2 linked regions of the Callithrix jacchus genome follow. The protein of the gene in region 2 purifies or fractionates together with the protein of the main gene of each other region. This does not show direct contact. Links are inferred from orthologs where the notes say so. Each region holds a gene or a part of one and is shown on either strand. Other genes may lie near its edges.

Evidence for each region. The genes of interacting proteins can lie anywhere in the genome.
Region 1: the proteins of SLAMF6 (region 2) and SH2D1A purify together in Homo sapiens (co-immunoprecipitation; 5 studies listed by BioGRID and IntAct, with this or other methods). This does not show direct contact. The link is inferred for Callithrix jacchus from reciprocal best matches to the Homo sapiens genes SLAMF6 and SH2D1A.

What each region holds. Positions count from the first base shown.
Region 1 is NC_133524.1:120,122,076-120,125,645, forward strand, and holds part of SH2D1A (SH2 domain-containing protein 1A), read left to right. Parts: intron 1-802; coding exon 803-947; intron 948-1,955; coding exon 1,956-1,996; 3' UTR 1,997-3,570.
Region 2 is NC_133519.1:20,450,904-20,455,123, reverse strand, and holds the start of SLAMF6 (SLAM family member 6), read left to right. Parts: upstream 1-1,400; 5' UTR 1,401-1,409; coding exon 1,410-1,515; intron 1,516-4,220. UniProt on the Homo sapiens protein: Self-ligand receptor of the signaling lymphocytic activation molecule (SLAM) family.

The DNA.
Region 1 (3,570 bases), on a different chromosome or scaffold from region 2:
TCAGGCAGTGTCTTTGCAGGACAACTGATGACAGGAAAAGAACACATTTTAATAGTCACCTGCAAATAAGTGTCTCTTTAAAAACAAATAAATAAAGGTGACCTTATGTAGTCTTTCATTTTCATGTCATCGAGAACACCTTGTTACAGTGATGTTTTGATGGAGAGAACCATTTTGGGAGTATAGGGAAGTTTCCCAAGGAGGAAAAAATTTAACATGAAGAATGACGCAGGAAATATTAAGAGGTGAAAGAGTATGAGAACTGAACTAGCTATACACTGTGTGTATCATAACAGCCATTTTTTAATTTCCTGTGTAGCATTTTATATTGTGGAATGATATCAGGTAGGATGGGTTGTTGGTTTGTCTTTTGTTGTTGCTCCTCAGACTTTTTATTAATGACCTGTAGGATCTGTGGTTTTTTTTTTTTTTTTGTGTGTGTGTGTTTAACTGTATCCCCTCTGTTGGTGAATTCATTGTGGGTAATGGCCTGTATACCCTCAGAGGTTTGAGATGTCTGATGGGAAGCAGGAAGGAAGGGCAGGGCGATGAGCAAGAACTGGTACAAACTAATACCACCCTTGGGAGAACTAAACGACAGCTCATTAGCTCCTCTTGCAGGGAAATTCAACCAACCAAAGTAAACTCTTCTGGAATGTTGTTTTTCCTTCTTCCTCATGTTTTCAAATATTTCAACAAGTTACATAAATGTTACATCTCTTAGCATCCCTAGCACATTTTTTAGGTCTTTTTGTATCATTATGAGATAGGTAAATAATTTGCTTGGCCTTTTATTTTCCAGACAGCACCTGGGGTACATAAAAGATATTTCCGGAAAATAAAAAATCTCATTTCAGCATTTCAGAAGCCAGATCAAGGCATTGTAATACCTCTGCAGTATCCAGTTGAGAAGAAGTCATCAGCTAGAAGTACACAAGGTACTACAGGTATGATTTACTTGTAATTTTTGACAGGGTTTGGAAGCTCAGAGTTATGAGTCAACCTATTCATAACCATATAATCAATTAGAAGTTATGTAAGAAAAATGCAATGAAAAAGTAGATGTAGCCAGCAAGTCAAATGAGAAGTGATAACGTATATGCTATAATTTCAATCTATTATTCTTTAGACTTTTAATGAATCTCTGTAAAAACATCAAAAATTCTATAAGCCTGACTGCTCTTATCTGTCTCATCTTGTTCTTGTCCCTTTTATAGGTAGCTACATATCATCTCACTTCACTAATTCAGACAATAATAATGTGAAAGATAGTATAATGCAGAGAACACCTAGGGGTCCTTTCCTTTGCTTAGTAAACTATTTTTTCCTTCAGGGACATGAAAGCTAATGTTAGCCTGGAACACATGATTCTGATTCCTGAATTAGTGGTGCTTGAATTAATGACTTTTTTCTGGAAAAATTAAGGAAATTAAATAGTAGACTTTATTATTCCATTGGCACAAATTGTTAAATATCCGGAGAAAACCTGTTTTAGTGTATGTGTCGTGGTAAAGACTGAATACCAGCCAATGTCTGTAGCTATCTGATATGTGACTGTTTACTTCTCTATTGAATGGCGTTTATCATTGGTTTAGAGTAGGAGGATAGGCCTTGATTGAAACAACAAAAATGAGTCATTATGTCCCTTTTTGACAGGGACCTAGGCTCAGGCATAAACTGACAATTAGATTCAAGTGGTGAATTAAATTAATGAATAGTTAGCCTTTATAATACAAATGCAAATAGAGCTCTAATTTCCAAGTTGGCTAATGTTTTTTTTTTCTGCCCAGTATTCTATTCTTTATAACTCAGTTTTAAATAAGTTGCTTAAGGTATATTATTGTGTTGTGTCATTGTGAGTTTTATGCAGGTGGAAATATTATAAGTTTGAGTTAATCTGTAATTTTAATAGTTTGTAGATTTATCTTTTCTTGATTTTTGTTATTTTTCTTTAGGAATAAGAGAAGATCCTGATGTCTGCCTGAAAGCCCCATGAAGAAAAATAAAACACCTTGTACTTTATTTTCTGTAATTTAAATATATGCTAAGTCTTATATATTATAGATAATACAGTTCGGTGAGCTACAAATGCATTTCTAAAGCCATTGTAGTCCTGTAATGGAAGCATCTAGCATGCTGTCAAAGCTGAAATGGACTTCTGTACATAGTGAGGAGCTTTGAAATACAGATTGGGAAAAAGTAATTCCATAGGTTATTTTCAGTTATCATATTTACAAATGGGAAACAATTTAAAGTGTAATGAATATTTTATAAAGGATTAATGTCAATTCTTGCCAAATATAAATAAAAATAATCATTGGTTTTTGTGAAAAGCTCCATTTTCCGTGAAATATTATTTGATAGCTACTAATTTTAAAATGCCTTGCTTGATTGTATGGTGGGAAGTTGGCTGCCTTTGTCTTTGCCAATTTCTCCACTAGCTATGGTATCATAGGCTCTTTTGGGATTTTTGAAGCTGTTTACTGTATGCTAAAACAAGCACTAGACAGAGTGAAGAATTTATGTTTAATTCTGAAAGCAACCTTCTTGCCCAGTGTTTCGATGTTGGACAGTAAAATCCACAGGCCAATCTAGAGTTTAAAATCTTATAATTTAAAATATGCTCTAAAAATGTTTATCATATTTGATGCTACAGGATTTGAAATTGTGTTGCAAATCCAATGAAGTGAGTTTTTCTTTTCGTTTACCTCTGCCACAATTGCTTCTGCTACATGCAGAACCTCATTTTGAAGGGAAACTTCAGCAGCTGCAGCTCATGAATAACTGATTTGTAACCAGCCTCCTTTTAAAATAACCCTACAAGACCACTGGAAAGTTTATGGTTATATTAATTTTTTAACAATTCCAAATGATTGAAACCTACATGAGAGTCAGAATTTTATACAGTATTTTCTTCTTACATTTGTATTTTCGTGATTTTTGTGATTGATTATATGTCACTTTGCTACAGGGCTCACAGCATTCATTCACTCAACAAACATAATAGGGCACTGAGGGTATAGAAGTAAAAGCACCTGATCCCTGCTCACAGTTCCCTGTCTCATTGGACGAGAAAACAGTAACAATAAAAGACAGTGAAAGAAAATAACAATGAAAGACAAGGAAACAATAACAATGAAAGTTGACAAGTACATGATAAGTGAGGTTCCCCGTGTGTAGGTAGATCTGGTCTTTAGAGGCAGAATGAGCCAACACAAATACTCTGGTCCATGGTCCATATGAAAAGGACTTCACTATAGAACAGTAACTTGGAATTCTGGGTTGTGTATGAGTGTTGGTGAACTTGGTTTTTAAATAGTGAACTGCTGAGAGACAGAGCTACTCTCCATGTGCTGGCAAGACCTGATTTCTGAGTATTTAGTATGGATGCCATGGGAGTACAAAAGTGCAGTGTGGCCCCAGTAATGCATTATGGGTGGTTTACCATTTCTTGAGGTAAAAGCATCACTTTAACTTGTAGAGGAATTTTAAAATCCTACTTTCAAAATAAATTGTGTATGTTTAATAGTGTTGAATTATATGGCTTGAGTCTCCATTGTAATAGGTGTA
Region 2 (4,220 bases):
AACCTACAGAATGGGACAAAAAATTTGCAATCTATCCATCTGACAAAGGGCTAATATCCAGAATCTACAAGGAACTTAAACAAATTTACAAGAAAAAACCAACTCCACCAAAAGTGAGTGAAGGATATGAACAGACACTTCTCAAAAGAAGACATTTATGTACCCAACAAACATATGAAAAATAGCTCATCATCACTGGTCATTAGAGAAATGCAAATCAAAATCACAATGAGATACCATCTCATGCCAGTTAGAATGGTGATCATTAAAAAGTCAGGAAACAACAGATGCTGAAGAGGATATGGGGAAATAGGAAGGCTTTTATATTGCTGGTGCAAATGCAAATTAGTTCAACCATTGTGGAAGACAGTGTGGTGATTCCTCAAGGATCTACAACCAGAAATACCATTTGACTCAGCAATCCCATTATTGGGTTATACCCAAAGGATTATAAATCATTCTACTATGAAGAAACATCCATACATTTATTGCAGCACTGTTCACAATAGCAAAGACTTGGAACCAACCCAAATGCCCATCAATGATAGGCTGGATAAAGAAAACGTGGCACATATACACCATGGAATTCTATGCAGACATAAAAAAGAATGAGTTCATGTCCTTTTCAGGGACATGGATGAAGCTGGAAACCATCATTCTCAGCAAACTAACACAAGAACAGAAAACCAAACACCACACGTTCTCACTCATAAGTGGGAGTCGACCAATGAGAACACATGTACACAGGGAGGGGAACATCACACACTGGAGTATGTTGGCAGGTAGGGCAGTAGGGGAGGGATAGCATTAGGAGAAATACCTAATGTAGATGACGGGTTGATGGGTGCAGCAAATCATCATGGCACTTCTTACACCTATGTAACAAACCTGCATGTTCTGCACATGTATCTCAGAACTGAAAGTATAATCATAATAAATAAATAAATAAAAGCATCCCCAAACAGCAAAAAGAAAGAAAGAAGAAAATTAGTCTTTTAGAAATTAAGGGTTTTGTTTTGCTTTTTCTTAGCTTTATACTTAAAAATTTCTGATATAATTTGAGTGGAATTGTTTTTCTAATTTTATTTTCAGATTAATCATAGCTAGTATATACAATTGCAATTGAATTATATGTGTTGATTTTGTATCTTTTCACCTTGCTGAATTCATTTATTTGTTCTAGTAGATTTTAGGAAATTCCTTATGGACTTTTACATACAAGTTTATTAAAGATGCAATAAAGGACTTTATCTTTTTTTCCAAAAACAAACAGAAAAAAGATTTGCGTGTTTAGCTCAGAAAAAAGTAAATTGAAAAGTAAACAAAACAGTGGCAGAGGAAGAAGTTCTCACCACGCCTCTGAAGGAAGGGGAAGTCTCAGTACAAAGCATTTTCAGTTTACTGACAGAATGGCAACAGCATTGACTGCCTCAAGGTCTCAAGCACCAGTCTTCACCGCGGAAAGCATGTTGTGGCTGTTCCTGTTGCTCCTGCTTGTCTTCTGCATTGGCCCAGGTAAATGTCAATGCAGAGCCATGTAGTCACTAGTGACTCCCTGGTTTTATGTCACTAGCGACTACACAGGTCTGCATTGCTCAATCGAAATCGTCTGTATACAGTTGTCTGTCTGGGTCCCTGTCAAGGGATTGGGATGGGGAAGGGCATGCTCATAGTGGTACTTGATATAAGTACCACTCATATACCTCCTCTCAACTTTGAATGCTATAAGCTTGAGATGGTTGTCAGTGAACAATTTCAACTGTGTCTATATGTAAGAAAGTTATTTGTTGGGGCAGAGGAAATAAGCTTTTGCAAGACGAGACTGGTTTATGGCCAGCATACTGTAAAGAGTACCAAGATCAAGAAAATGAGCCCTCATACCAATTTAGCCACTACCTTACTGTGAACCTCCAGAAGGTTACTTATCATCTCTGAACCTCACTATCCTCATCTACACTATTAAAAACCTATTATTCAGTTGAGCCAAAATTTCTGGGCCCAACCAAACACACTGAAATTAATCCTCTCTAGCCCGCCCCCTCAAAAAAAAGGTTTCCATCTCTCCCCTCCTATAGTGCAAATTAGGACTGAGTGCTTATTATATTTCAAGTACTGTTTCAGGTGCTGTACACACATTATGAGTCTCATGAGAATTCTATGAATTTGTACTATTATTATCTCCATTTTAAAAGAAAGAACTCAAGTGAAGTTAATTTAAATAACTTGCCCAAATTTCATTAACCAGCATGCGGCAAGCTCTTGTAATAGTTCTGAAAAACAATGACAATTGAACGAGTGTGGCAGCAGCATAAGAGAAAGACAGGATGGAAGCAAGAGATCCCTTCGATATGGAGTTAAGTAGATTAATTGGCAATTGGAATGAGGGGAAAGGAGGATTCGGTAAGTCATTTGATAAATATTCATGGGGCGCCTATTGAATGTCTGGCACTGTTTCAGTCTGCATGAATACATCACGAACAAAGCAAGCAAAAAATTCCGGCTCTCATGGAGTTAACATTTTAGCAGAAGACAAACCATAAAAACGAACAAACAAAAAAGCAAGTAAAATAGTGTATTGAATAGTGATAAGGAAGAAATAAAAGTAGAAAAAAGAAATTCAAGTAGAAAAGGGAGAGATGAAATACGGTAAAGAGGGCAGTGAAATTTCTGACAGGATAGCCAGAGAAAGTGACAAAATTGGAAGGTGGAGAGCAGCCACAGGAGGAAGGTGAGTTCAGTTTTGGACCTGCCGATTTTAGGATGTTGGCATACCATCCATGAGGAAGTTACATGAAAGTTCCTGGGAATTTAGGACTAGGAGGAGGGCTGAGTCTGGAAGCTTAAAAATCAACAGCATAGAGGTAAGTTAAGCTACGGAGAAAACTGGAATGAGAACAGAACTTTGGGAAATATATATACAATGTAGAAAGAGAGAGAATTCTTGCTTTCATTCAAGAGCCACTTCCTGACCTGGGAGCAGAATCTTGAGTTTTTGTTTCATTTTTACCTCCCTGCAAAATTAAATCCACCTCTAGAATAAAAATATTCTGAATGTCCTCATGTTAAAACTCCTCTTCTTCTCCCTATGTCCATGAATACTTCTTATAATGACTCCCTGAAAGATACAGTGCTCCCATCTCCATTTCACAGATGGGGAAAGAAGGCACAGAGCACTTAAGTAACTTGCTTACTGTCCCACAGTTATGGGGGAAATGGGTATAGAAAGAGAAACACATTTGAATGTGTTTGCAGGAGGCAGATGCAGGTGTTCGGAAGCCCAGGAGGGGAGAAGTGGCTGCTACAACTGGAAATCAGGAAGTCCTGCTCTGGAGTGTGTGCTCATGACTGCTTCATCATACTACTTAACTTACACGCAGTCACATATTCACACAAATGCATATATAATTAGAAAGTGTGAGGCTAGCAAGAAAATAAGCAGGGCACGTTGATAGAGAAAAACACAGGGACCTGCTTTAAACCGAGTGATGAAGAAAGGACTTTCTGGAAAAATAACATTTCATCTCATATTTAAAGGGTATGAAAAGTTAAGCAGGAAACATCAAATGAAGAAGCTTTTAAGGCAGGAGGGATCATATGAGGAAAGATCCTGATGCAGGGAAGAGCGTGGAGCGATTTAGGAAGGGAAAGAGACCCCTGTTGCAAAAGTGCAGGGCAAACGAAATCAATCATGGAAACAACCATGAAAAACAATGACTCATGCCAGCCTACATTATTTCCAATGAATGGGAAAGAATCTTCCATTCTTTCCAAAGAATGGGCACTAGCCAACCCACCTCCTTTTAGAAAATTTAGTTGAAAAGACAAACCTTGTTGAAAAATAATCCTATTTCCTTTAACTGAAGCCCTGGGTGGCAAAACTAACAGAACAAAACAATAATTATAACTAAAATCAAGCATCATGACATCCTAGAGAAAGTGAATCTTGTTTCTTTATTTTAATTTCTATAGATAGAAACCTGTCGAACTTAAATGGTCATATAAGTTACTTGGGGGAATCTTATTAAAATGCTGATTCTGGAATAGGGACTGAGGTTCTGCATTTCTAACAGGCTCCCAGGTGACACCAATGCTCCCTGTCCATGGACCACACTGAACAGCAAGGTCCTAAATTCCACTGGACTTCAGTCACCCTGAGATTTTAGGGAGGGAGAAATAGGAACTAATTTTTGAGTGTGCTTGCAGGAAGCAGATACAGGTAT